Linked DNA regions of Drosophila melanogaster. The protein of the gene in region 2 interacts with the protein of the main gene of each other region in a pairwise test. Each region holds a gene or a part of one and is shown on either strand. Other genes may lie near its edges.

Evidence for each region.
Region 1: the proteins of Xport-B (region 2) and CG17580 interact in a two-hybrid assay, tested with the Drosophila melanogaster proteins (one large-scale study listed by BioGRID).
Region 3: the proteins of Xport-B (region 2) and wat interact in a two-hybrid assay, tested with the Drosophila melanogaster proteins (one large-scale study listed by BioGRID).

Annotation. Positions count from the first base shown.
Region 1 is NT_033778.4:12,804,406-12,808,631, reverse strand, and holds CG17580 (uncharacterized protein), read right to left. Parts: upstream 2,019-4,226; 5' UTR 1,935-2,018; coding exon 1,713-1,934; 3' UTR 1,598-1,712; intron 1,543-1,597; 3' UTR 1,403-1,542; intron 1,346-1,402; 3' UTR 821-1,345; downstream 1-820.
Region 2 is NT_033777.3:19,913,256-19,917,292, forward strand, and holds Xport-B (exit protein of rhodopsin and TRP B), read right to left. Parts: upstream 2,158-4,037; 5' UTR 2,040-2,157; coding exon of another isoform or gene 1,826-2,039; 5' UTR 1,822-1,825; intron 1,758-1,821; coding exon of another isoform or gene 1,621-1,757; 5' UTR 1,570-1,620; coding exon 1,228-1,569; 3' UTR 1,065-1,227; downstream 1-1,064. Other genes in the region: Xport-A (exit protein of rhodopsin and TRP A), read right to left, coding at 1,621-1,757, 1,826-2,039; CG4465 (uncharacterized protein), read right to left, coding at 2,735-3,735, 3,791-4,037.
Region 3 is NT_033777.3:29,017,087-29,022,501, forward strand, and holds the start of wat (waterproof), read right to left. Parts: upstream 3,321-5,415; 5' UTR 2,937-3,320; intron 1-2,936. UniProt on the Drosophila melanogaster protein: Catalyzes the reduction of saturated fatty acyl-CoA to fatty alcohols. The preferred substrates are C24:0 and C26:0. Necessary for the final stages of tracheal maturation, to facilitate the transition from water-filled to gas-filled tubes.

The sequences.
Region 1 (4,226 bases), on a different chromosome or scaffold from region 2:
AAGTCCCAAGTCCTTGACTTTTTCAAGTTCAATTTCGCTTGGGGGGCTGGCTGCAACATTGCGATAATTGATGTCTCGACATTGTTAATTATCTCCTCAAAGATGTTGGAACGTAAATAATCAGCTCATCAGCCGCTTGCTTTGTGAATTTTATAACATCACCTGTGACATCTGATTGCCTGACCGAGCCAACACCAAGATATGTTCAATTATACTAATGATATTATTTCGACATTACGCATACGCAGTGTGTGCGTCTAATGGGTGGAAGCTCGTAAAATACAGAGCAAGCATTAAGATATTATTTGTGGGCTAGGTCTATTCAGTCGATGTCGAGTGCAATTATTTGCAGAATATTTAGTTCAGGGCAGGGTGCTCTTCACATTCAAAATATTCAGTCAGCCAGCCAGTGCCTTCGGGATATATTGTGCTGTATAATTTATCTAAACAGCACATTCCCGTCCGAAAATTTAAAGCCACAAAGTGTCAGACTTGACTTGCTGCGGCTGCTGCTGGCAATAAATCTTAAAGTTCATTAAAAAGTTTATTTATATTTCACCTGCTGTGTGCGAACGAAAGAAGTCTGGCAAGTGTCAAAGAAATAAAAGCTCGAATTGCCGACAAATCTTTGTTAAGCTTGACCTTGACTGATGGCCCCTCTCATAAGAAGTCGTTTTAAGATAAACCCCCAACGCACCGAAATAAATAACTTTTGTCTCGTTTAGTAGAAGCAATCAACTTCCTAAGCTGGTAATTTAAATAAAATGTGTCGTCATAAGTGTGCAATTTTAGTTTATTTATTAAAATTAGAGTTTTAATTCAAATTGTTATTTTAATTACAGCAATAGCATAAATATGTGAAATAAAAATCGTTGTACACTTTTATCAATGAATGCCATTCTCCACTTCGTTAATTAACACCAAAATAAATAGGGCCAGTGAATAATCGTAGGATTTTTTATATGCAACCCAAAATATGTGCATTCACTAGCTTCATTCAACTAAAAAGTGTTTCGCCATTGAAGAGTCAACCAGAACGCCATCAAAAGGAAGCGCTCCAATAAGTTTGAATAGCATCACAAATACACACGTCTACATGCACAAATGTATCTGCATGTGTTGCTGGAGATTGCGCGGCTTCGGCCTTGCTTTTGTAATTGTTAACAATAAAGGAGGCGGTCTAGTGTGGGGTGGGTTGTTTCATCCGGCTTTAATTAAGATCCAGCTGCTAGAATTCATGTATGACAAGTATTGGACTGCACGTAAGTTGATAGTGATATAACCAAGCTTAGCATATCACAATTCAAACAGGAGAACAGACAAATGAATAACTTTACATATGAATCTGCGAAAAGATAAGCTGGTTTATACTGCAAGGCAAATGAAAAATAATATTACAAACCCAATATTAATTATCTTCACCAACTCTGTGGAGTATATATAAAACAAACAGGCAAATGTAGACTGCGATGATAAAAAGTAAAAAGATCAAACTGATGTTTCGACAAGAAAACATAACTGGTGTATAAGTTTTAATTAAATCTAATTTGGGAAATAATTTTAAATAGTTTTCTTTAATATCTGCTGGCATACTTACTCTCGCTAAATGTAGAACAATTGCTTTCGCAGGCCAAGCTGCTTCAAATTAGTTGAAGTTCAATGGGTAATGAATTCCGCCATTTCCGTGGAAGTTTCTATATCGCCAGGAGCACTCAATCGCAACGGACGTCGTAGGAGGAGCACTCACCGAAGTCCGACTTGAGGGTGAAGTACATGCCCACACCGATGCCGATGACCATGATGAGGACTCCCAGCCAGTAGACCAGGCGCCAGAAGGGCCATGACGATGGTGGCTTCTTCTGGGGTCGGTCGGATCTCACCTCCTCCTCGTCAACTTCAACTCTTTGTGGTTGGCGGCGCAGCTTGTTTCCCATTTCCCTGGGCCTTTAACTTTCTGTACGAATTTGCTTCCCTTGGGCGATAATTGATTGGATTTTCCCTGGCAACTCGACAGCAACCGAATGATAACATTTTATTGAAATTACTTGAGCATCTCGTAGGCTGAGATTCATCTCCGATGGCGAAAACTTCTGGCTAATTATTTAAGTTAATTGGCCTTTGTCCGCAAAAGGCCTGCCCAAGCCATGATGATGATGATGGGGTGGTTAGCATTGGCCTGAAATATTTGCTCGGAGGCCACAAAATGTCTCGCAAATTTGTTCAAATTACTTGGAACACAAAACAAGAGTCGTCCGCCACTCCTCGAGATCCTTGCAGGCCCAAGTCCGTGCATAAATTTCAGAACAGGAGGTCCTGGGTGGAATACAAAAGGACTTTGTTTGCGGTCGAGAGATGAAAAGTCATTTCTCTCCATTATTTGCCAACTAATTGGTTGGTAGGACTTGTGCATTTATGTTGCTCAAATGTTTGCCCAAAGAATTCTGGAATTTGGTGAGGTGTCAAGTGGGTCTACCATCACCCTGACCTTTTGCCGTATCAATTAAATGGCCAGCTGGTCAACTGGCCAAATTGAGCAAATGAAGGATGCAACTTAATAATGGCATTCTCGTATATGCGCATATGTATGTACATATAATGCCACTTAAGCATGCCGTAGATCTCATTCTTGCCATGATTTAAGTGCATTTCGATCGGCTTTTCCAGCTTTTCCCCGTGGCTGTATCCTTTGGAGTGCTGGCGATGCCATTACTGCTTCAATTTCAGTTTCTGTTTGATGTTAATGAAAGTTTCCGTCGTGCAAATAAAGCCAAAAGCATGGAAATCAGTAAAACAAATTGCAATCTGCTTTTTATCGCACGTCGCTGCATGACTGCTGGCAGCCGGCATTTTCCTTGCTCCGTCATCGATTGCCTGGCTTTCCCCTCGACTTTTCCCTTTGCTGCTGGCCCGCCCGGCTATTGACTTGCTCATTATGGCCCTGATGATGACTGCTCTCTTGCCACAGCTACCGTTCGTTCGTGTATAGTATCTGTGTGCTTTGGTTCCGTTTCGTTTCGTTTTCAATTTTACTGCAAAAAAGGCATAGATCTCCTCATTCCGCACCCGCATTGGGGGTCGGCAATCAGGGCGGCATAAATTGTTAATATATCTTAACGGATATTCAATTTCCGTCAACCAAGAAATGCATTAAATTGGTAACAAAGCTTAGCCGCTACAACCGAACGATGGCAAAATTGTTAAGCTCCAGCGGGGTATTATTAAAAATTCAAAGTCGTTAGAGAATGGCAAAACTTTGTGCAGTCCGGGCCAAGACATAATAATAATATAGAGCCGGAGTGGAAGGACTGAAAAATAAAGAATGGCCAGGACAATGGGGAGACAACAGGCAAACTATGAACTGGGAAACTGAAAAACTGTGAGAGTGGGAAACTGGGAAACTGCAAGACTGCGAAGCTGAGATGCCGAGAAGCTCAACTATGCCCAACTTGGCTGTCCGACTGTTTATTTTCACTAGACTTCCTCTTTCCCTGGGCTTCGGCCTTATTACGCTTGGCGGCCCATCATCTGCATGGCCTTGGGGTGGGCGGTGGTGGCGATAAGTGGGCGGTGCAGATGGCAGGACGAGCAGGCAAGTTGTCAACTAAGTTTGCAACAATAATCGCCAACTTCACAGGACCTCGAATGACAGAGCTGAGGCAGCAGCAGCAGCAGCTTTCAGATAAAAACCAGAAAACAATAAGACTTTAGGCCGACTTTTATTCAGTCTTGCAAAGTTCTCCACCTCTGGCACTGCAGCGTTTACCCTCGAAAAAGCAAAGGTCCTCAAAAGGAGCAAACAGCAGCAAATAGGCTGTGCTGGCAAGGATCTCTTCAGACTTTCGAGACGTGGCACAAAGGAAAGATTGCTTTTGCTTTTTGTTTGCTCTCCGACTGGAGATTAAGAAGGATTCAAAGGGTGTGAGAAAATGCGAGCAGGTTAGTGTGTGTGGCCTGTGGCATACATAGTTATTCTTTGAAACAAATTATACATTGCCATTTTTAATCTAATTTAAATGTCGCTTTTAATTGAGAAATCCTGTAAACGGCTCAATATAAGTTGTGTGGTGACACTTAATTTCAACTTTATGCAATTTTCACCTTTGGGCCAAAATCCGATTGACAATTATTGGCACTAAATAGTTGCATTTCAATTTGAAACACTGCCAATGACGTTTATACATATAACCATTTAAGAATTAAAAGCATATAACAATTACATATAAGAA
Region 2 (4,037 bases):
TTTGTATTTTTGCCTTGTTCATAAGCAATCTAATTTGTACGTGTTTAGCCATATATAACAATATCACGCGATATCCATAACGTATATGTATGCATATATAGTCTTTAGTAGGCCACCATAAATCAATTGTCGAAATTCGATTTGTTAGCCCAAGCCAGCTCTCAATTGTTAATCCTTGTTTGAAAGGTTGTGATACTTCAGAAAGGTTTTGTGTTTCCTTAATTTTTTGCATTGCTCTTGAGTACGTTTTGTTAACTTCTCCAACGAAAGACATTGTGATTTCCTTTTATTAAAAGTTATGATTTCGATTAAATTACAGAAATTACAGAAAATTCCAATGTATTATTCAACTCACGAAGTACATTTTCATTGAATTATCATTTCGCTGCGCGATGTACTTTACTTTGTATCTTTGCTTTATTAATTTGTAATGCAATTATTATTATTTTTATTTTATAATAAAATTATGTATGATAAACTGTTGTGTATATAAAATATACATAAAAAGATAAATATGATTTTGCCCGAGAGGCATTTGTCTTTGTATTTTATTGTTTGTGAAGTTAATTTTACGAAATTGGCTAAAGAGTGGGTGCGCGTAGTGTATGTTAGAATGTGGATCTCTTATGAAATTGGTAATACCTAGCTCTTAATCACATACTGACCTCCTTAAATCAAATGATACTTAAGATATCTTCAGCTTTGTGGTATCTTCAAAACTCTACACTTTGTGCCACAAAACGAATACCTGAACACAAGCGATTTGTAGACAGCACTTATTATAAACCAAATGGCATAACTTCCAAGTCAAATACCTAACTACTTTATATCTCCATATAACTATTTTTCACGAGATGCTTCAGATGCAAACTAGCAATGACCAGATCTGGATTGAATAGAGCTTACTTACAGACCAAATCGATATATATTCCATGATATTTATAGAGATTAGTATGTTTATAAAGTTTTGTGAATAGGTTAGTAAGTGAGCTAATGCTGGAGACACACGAATATATTCTGCAAACATTTAAATAAAAAAGCTGAAAACCACAAGTTGGATAAATATTTCTATTGTTGTTCATAATGGTGGGATACAATGTAGAATTCGAATGTAGAGAGCAAGACAATTAAGTATGCAATACGGTTAGTAAGATATTTTATTCTACGAAACTCATATAAAACACACTAAGTATAATTGATACCATATATAATTAATTATAGGATGGGCTATCTTATGTTGCTCGTAACTAGGCAAACATCGAATGGTGGTAGAGTGCCGGTAATCTCCAAGAATCGTCGAAGGATGTGGCAATAGGTGTTTCCCATGGGCGGAGATTCAGTTCCTTCCGCCGGAATTCTAGCCACCTCGTCCGGAGTGTCCAGCTCCCTAACATAATCCATAAAGTTGTCCACATTGATGGGTGTCTCTGCCCTCGTCTTTGCTGGTTCCGTCTGCAACTTTCGCTGGAACTCACTTCTGTAGTAGTCGTTGATCATGGACATCATCCCCTTGGAATACCAGTAGATGATGCCAATCAAGAATAGGCCCTGCATGAATGGACCGACCATATTGTATGCTTCCACTTGATTTACTTATTTGTTCGATAGATCCTTTGGTTTCTACTGCTGATGCTCCTCGCGGAAGCTTTCAAGCCATTGATTAACCATGTAGAATTGCTCCTTGATGTGCGGCCAGGCCATGGTGACAATTAGCATTATGGTATTGGCGAAGACAAAGAGTTTCATCATTTCAAATGCTATTGGAAAGGGGTAATATTTATTAGTTAAATGAACTATATATTTTTAAGGAGCGAAAATTACAGACCCTCCGGAGTGCGAAGATAGTCGCCGAAGCCGGAATTTAGATCCTTGTCATCCTTCTCGTCCACCTTCTGCTCATGCTTATGCTTATCCTTCTCGTCTCGGCTCTTGCCCTTACCACCACCCTCGACTTTATCCTTGCCAGAGTGTCCTTTACCGTGCTTGTTCCTGCCGTATCCCGTGGATGAATTGGCAAAGGCCGATTTCTTCGGCTTCATTGCATCCAGATAGCAGCAGTTGGTCGGTCAGCCTGCACAGCACTGCATTTGATTGGAGTTGGTCCTGGAAGTGCTCTCCGCCTGGTGCTTCCTCGCCAACTGCTGCTCCGCAAATGACACAAACTTTGTGGTGCCAATTGGCGTGGCGCCGCTTCTGGCAATTTTATGGTTTCCATTTTATTGATTTGCGATTTCTGCTTGTCGCTCTGGCTGGGTGGGAATGGTGGGACAGGTGACCAAATAGAAATATGTTGTTAGTGGAGCAATGCGCTTGGATATTTAGCCGGGCATGTGTACTTATTATACCAGTCACACGAAATGTGTGTCAACTTGGTGGATGAAGGTGGTCGCCGGTAGGGTTGGTGTTTGTGGGTTTACATTGGTCCCAAATGGCTCTGGTTCCTGAAAGCTTATTTAAATATCATGCAAACCAGTTTTAATTTATTTAATGCCTTATTCTGCCAAATAGTTTATAATAGTTTTGCATTGATCTAATGTAAGCTTTACATTTTAAACAAACTACGTGTAGATGCCGAACTTTTGATTTATTCCCAAAAGTATGCAACCCAATATACATATTCGATTCGCGATAAGCGAATGTTTAATGAGCTAAATTCGAATACTGTTCGCGAATACTTGACACACACTACAACTAACTTATCAAATACGCCCAGACATATATTAAGTATACGTTATTACGTGAACGCAATAAGTTGCTGTCCCTTGTTTACCACAGCTCCGACCGGTGGCTGCTCCTTGTCCCGCGTGACCAGGCAACATGTGCCAAGGCCGCCCAGGATGACCAGCAGACAGAAGGCGGACAGGGAGAGGGCGGGGCTCACCTGCCTGAGCAGCGTGAGAAAAGAGGCGGAGAGCTGCCACACCCGCGCCCACGTGACGGCGGAGAAGGAGAGGCAACTACGCTGCTCCATTGGCACCAGTTCGCCCAGGCAGGCCAAAATCATGGACTGGGCGCAGGCTACGGCCGCCTGGGGAAGTGATGCCATTAGCAAGCCCAGCGTCAGTCCATACACCTCGGGCATATCCTCCTCGGCCAGGAACCAACAGATGCTACCGATGCAACCGACCACGATGGCAAATCCCCCCGCCCACTGCCACTTGCGTTCACTCAGGTTGAAGGTCAGGTGTAGGGCCAGGAAGCAGCCAAGCATCTCGGCCAGGCCCATGGCCAGTGTGTTGGACACCAGGTGCTCCCTGCCAAAGGACCGCACATGGAGCAGCAGCCCAGTGTTGACCACCATGAAGGTGGCAAGTGCCATGTGCACGGCCACCAAGTGGAAAGTACTCCTACGCTGGCCCATCCACAAGTGCATCCAATGCACGGCGGGCATTGGCTCCAGCATCCTTTCTCTCAGCTCCTCCAACTGCTGGGGTAACTCCTTGGACACTTTGTGCATTCTACCATTGGTACGGGCTGCTTCCAGCAGGATACCCACCGTTCGCTCGATGGCCAGTTGAGCTTCCTTGGTGTGTTGCAGCTGCCAGCGCGGTGAGTCCGGAGTCCAGGGTAGCAGAAAGACAATCACCAGCAAGGAAAGAGTTACGCCCAAGTATATGTGCTGCCAGCTGGGAGCATTGGAGGCCAAGCCAGGGAGCAGAATCAAGCCCAGAGCCCAGAAGCAGTCGTAAAGTATGAGGGTTCCTACGCGATATTTTCCCGCTGTTATGTCACCAACTGAAAAGTAGGTTATTTAATATTAAAGTATTCTTAAATATTCAATTTTACTTACATATATACTGCCCCGAGGTGATCATAAAACAGCACGAAACAGCAGCCAGGCATCGGAGTCCACAGTGCAGACTGAAGTCTTTGACAAGACCCATCAGTAGGCTGCACATGAGCAGGCACCAGATGCCAGTTCTATAAATCTGTCGGGGACTCAGGACCCGCATCAACTTGGTGGCCGCCACGCCACCGATTAGGAGGCCAAAGAGGTGCCAGTACTGAGACCAGGCCACAAAGAAGTCGCACAGACA
Region 3 (5,415 bases), 9.1 Mb from region 2:
TGTGCCAAATATAATTACACTAATTAAATGAGCATGCAGAATTTAATATGGCCGTGTTCAAATGAACAGCTACAAGTGTAACACTTTTATCTACAAATATATAGAATATCTGCATGGAAATTCGATCTTTGTTGTAATTTAAAACCGTACGTTTTATACGAGTATGGTAAATGCAAACTCACCCGATAATAGTTGAAATTGACAAAATTTATGTTCAAAACATACCTTTATTTAGGAACGTTGCCACTTGGCAGCTTGAAAAATGTGCAGATACCGGAGGCACAGATGCAGATACAATGCAAACATTACTCAGCCGCATTGCTCGGCTACTAAACAATTTAAATGAAGATGTTCCCAATTGGATTCATGGTCAGGCGGCCGATGAGTTATTTATGCATACTTAAACACGCCTGGAAAATGCAAGGCGAAGAGCGCCTTCGGATATCTTGGCCATTTGGACACTTGGCCGTTTGGCTGTTTGGCTGCTAATTCGCAGCAGAAGCAATATTCGCACATTTATCGATTGCAAATCAATTTCGTGCAATTGCACATCTCACGTAATGTCGGCCCCTCTTGGCCAGGTCGAAACGCAGTGGCTCTGGCTCTGGATTTGGCTTTGGACTTCGATTTGGATTCGGAATCGGCTTGGGCTTGGGCTTTAACTGGCTGCAATGCATCGCTGCCGGATTACCCCTCGATTAATGCTGCTTGCATACAAATTGGCGCATTTACGTTCGCCTTCACCTGCTATATGGGAATCTCGGGGGGTCTTCCCTATCCACAAGATACAGATACAGATACAGATACAGATACAGATACAGATAGAGGTGCAGATACAGATATAGATACAGACACGCGCCTGCACTCGTTAGCCAGAAGCCTGAAGCCTGAGGCGTTTGCCTTCCTTTTGGCATTCGGCAGGCAGTTGGCCAAATTGCATAAACAAAATCGCGCAGCGAAATGAAAAGTGCGCCAAGTGCGAAATATAAATTACACCGCGAGCATTCGCATGCAAATTCCGATTCGGATTTCAATTCGAAAACATTGTCGCACGTTGAAAGTGGTAAGTGGCAAGTGGCAAGTGTCTTTCGGTGCAATCCTAATCAGCATGACTGGCCCAGTGCCAGTCACACTGCAAATCCCATCGCATCCCATCCCAGTTATCCCATTCCATTCCCTGGGTGCTGGATAGAAATGGCAACGAGGCGAGGTGACAACATAAGCAGACTTTTCGCGGGATTTGTCAAATATTTGCGCAACGCTGCGCTTATCCATCCAAAAAAAAGAAAAGCACTAAATCTCTGGAAAGGGAGATCCAAAACTGCAGCACCGAGTCCCAAAAACCCAGGAACCCAAAAAAAAACCCCCTACCCCGCTTGCCCACTTTTTTGTGTGCGCTTTCACGCCTCTTGGAAGGCGGGCAAACTTTTATTATTATTTCATTTTTTTTATGTTCGCCGCGCCTCGCAAGTTCAAAAAGTTTAATGCTATTTGACTTTGATTCAATGTTTGCATTGTGCCCGGGCACATCATCGATTATTTTCCACTTGACGCCCCACCACGTCAGCCCACTGAACATGGAACATGGAACACCAGAGCCACCAGAGCCATCCGCCCACGGATCCCGAAGCGAACTCCCAACGAATCCCCATCCGCATCCGAACTGGAATACCAGTTGTTTGTGGTGGACAAATGAAATATGTTTGGCCGCATCAAAAAGCCCTGGCACTGAAAATTGATAAATTGCGAATTAATTGAATCGCTATGACATGAAGTTTAGCACTATTTTCTCGTCTCGCCTCAATTAAAGAGTTGGCTGGGTTTTTCCTGCACAGATACTTAGATACTTTAATTGCATCCTTGAGGCCCATTTAATTGTGGCACACAAATCGATTTTTTAAACTCTGTTTCATTTCAGCACGATATGATGATATTCTCATGCATATTTCATTGAATGCATTTCATTGCCATTTAAATTTGGCCAACGAAAGTATTTGTTGTATAAAGGGCTTGGGGGCGTCCACTCTTTAAATTCTTTATGAACTTTAATTTCCAAATTACATCGCTTAATTGAGTTCGGATTTTAAATGGCTTGTAAAGCTGAGGCAAATTGCACATTTCTGCGCAGCTGAAATATGATTTACGTAATATAATAATATTTAATGCAACACATTTTTATTGCGACATTTCACTGAAATGCGTATCTTCTAAATATTTAAAATCCTCTTCTGGCCTTTTAGTCTCTTTTACAAAAGGTATGTATATTTTTGTATATTTTTGAGCATCAAGTAATTTCTTTTATAGCCAGCACAGAACAATTAGTCACGGATTTGTAAAACCAAATGTCACAGATAATATTATTTATTCTGCCAAATTAGTGAGCTGCTAAGTGGGAATTTAAATATTGATCGAACTGCTCTTGATCCAGTAATGAATGTTTTTCCCAATCTAATCAATTATTTTTTGGGTTTGGCCATATATAAAATACGAATGAATGCAAACTTGTTTGAAATACACAAAGACCACGGGAGTAATATAATAATCCAACTGGCGATTATCGATTCTTTGGCAGCCGTAACTCTTTTGCCATTGCAATGGCAAAACAATGAGTTATTTCCCAATTGCCGAGTGGGTTTGTTTGTGTATTAAATTTGGGAAATTCAATGAAATTTCACACATTTTTTCGTGAATGCCTGTGTGCTGGCAATTGGCTATGAGCTCTTCGTCGGCCCCTCCTGCACCTGCGGAGCGAATCCAACCCGTTTTGGGTATTTGGGTATATGGGTATTTTTTTTAGAAAGCCATCAACGCCAGCTACATTACCACCACCACTACCTACAGTGCCTAGCATATACGTAATGGCATATGTCATACGATTACCAGGTATACGGATAGCAGAGCAGATTGTCTATAATCCCATGTAATTCAAGACTCACCGATTTGCTGGCTGCACAGGCACAGATCCCACGGCCACGGATTGGATTGGAGTGGCTTTCCGCAAATTGCTGGCTAATTGGAGGGCTCGTGGATCTGCCAAAACGAATCTTGCTCGCTGGCATACAGGGATATATCTCTTGGTTTTCTATCTTTTTCAGTTGCCACTTTCGAAATATATAAAAATTCTCTAACCAAACGCGCTTTACAACTGCAGCACGCGCTGTTGCACAAGAGTAGCGAAAAGAGCGATGCCAAATTGGTTGCAACAGGTGGAAAAACTGGGAGCGCACCGCGATCCGAACCGAATCGGTTTTGTATATCCAGCGAATTGAGTCCCGAGTTTGAAAACTAACTTTTGAAGTCGATGCGAGCGTTACGCGTTCCAGAACCGCGCTGCCAGGCAGACGAAAACAGACTCAGCTCGATTGAGGCTCGCAAAAACCACAACACCTGACGGCGGCTTCTCAGTCCGTGGATCGGCGCCGTTCAGCGGCTCGATGGTGGTGCGCTTGGCATCTCAGCGGCTCAGCGGTTTGGTGGCTCAGCGGCTCAGCGCCTCAGCGACGGTGGCGTCGACTGCGACGGCGACTGCGGCGTTTTGTGGGCGGTAAGCCAAACTTAAAAAAAAAATCAAGTCAAATTGAGTGGCGCAGTTTGGACTGGCGATTGAAGTGTACACATGTACATAGTCGTACTAACTTGCCGCACCTGAGCATCGCTTTCGGACACTGCCAGTGTTATGATCCAATTTTATGGAGCCTCGTAAAGCCGAAGCATTTGAGATATATTTGCGGTATATGTACATCGGACTTCACTTAAGCGCTGGTCACTTGGGTTAAAATAGCGCCGGTTACTTAGCTTACAGCTTGCCATTCATCCTATTAAATGGAGCATTTTGAAGGTTCCAAAGCATCTTTAATAAACAATTAACAAAACGTGCTGGTAATCAAAGATTACGCCAGTATCTTTTACAATTGCCTTATTCAGTTGAGTTTCAAAATTGAATATTCCCATACCCAATGTATACTAGTAGTTATCATTCCAACGAAGATGACGAATACTCAAAATATTAGCAAAGATTTCGAGATGAACTGTAAATATTACTCATACGCAGCGTGTACATATATCATATATTATGAGGCTCCATATAATTGAATACATAGCGATTGAATTTTCGGATTATCATTATGATTGTTAAGAAGTGCAAAATGATTAACCGAAAATGTATTGGATTACTTTGCATTATATGTATGTTCTTTTATCTTGTATAAAAAATTCCGTTGTTAATTAAGTGATGATAGCATATGATTATCATGCTGACCCCAAGTTGTGTCTGGTAAATAAAGTGATTACTAGATGAGATCTCTGAAACCGTGCTGGCTAATTAAAGACATTCGGCGAACCTGGACCCTGTCTTTATAGTTTGATCTGTCTGACAGGGCTGAACCCACACGGACCTCCGGCTCAGCTGACTCATCCTCGAGTGCAGTGCACATCCGCTCCATCCCTATACGAATCCCAATCGAAAACCCAGCCCAATTGGTATTCCTGCTCCGTTCGCCCGGAGACGTCGTTCGACGTAGTTCGCTCATAAATTTTGCATTTGCTGTGTGATTTTCCTTTTTAGACGCGACAAGATTTCACTGATTTCGCATATATCCCAGCATTTATAATATATTCGCCTGGGCCGAGTATTCTAAGTCGAGTTCAGTACTGTTCAGCTGTTCGGCTGGTAATCGCAGTGCCGCCATCAATCACGTAGTTCCCAGCATGTTTTGTCGCCGATCCCATCTGTATCTGTATCTTGACGCAGTATCTTCTCACACCAGAGCCAAGCTCAAAGAGTCTATAAACTCGAATATCTCTCGCACAAACGCTGTACGAAAACGAAACAAAAGGCCCATTAATGACAAATGCGAAATAACGAAATTAAAATAATAATATTCGCGATCAAGACACTGCATATTAATGGTGGCCCCATCAAAAGACACTCAAGTGCACACTTTTCAGGTATGATCCGATCTTGTTCAGCTCTGTTCAAACACTTGACAATGACATGATTCGCTTTTGATGTATAATTACTTCACTTTCGAGGTACAACGGCCTGCAGATTGTTTGATGCCTTTATTTATGCTGTGTAATTGCTTTGAAATGCCTCTTTACTTATGCAGATTTCGGGGCTCCATTATATAAAAAGTTACGATTTGTAGGCGGACAGTTTGCAATGAGCAAATAGGGCAACATTTACCCAGACAACTGAGTGTTACCTTTTTGAGTCAATACCTTGAAAATCTGATTTCTCGCCGATTTTCGCACCTGGTCTTAGTAATTAGCTTAAAAAGTTATTCTTCGTTTCTGACATAGTCAGTTATTAAAGGTTCAACTATCTACCTGTTTATTTTCAAGGGCATTGAAATACGTTCGAGCCAAATTAAAATACTTTTTAAGCTGATCATTCTACGATTATTGTTTTTATAA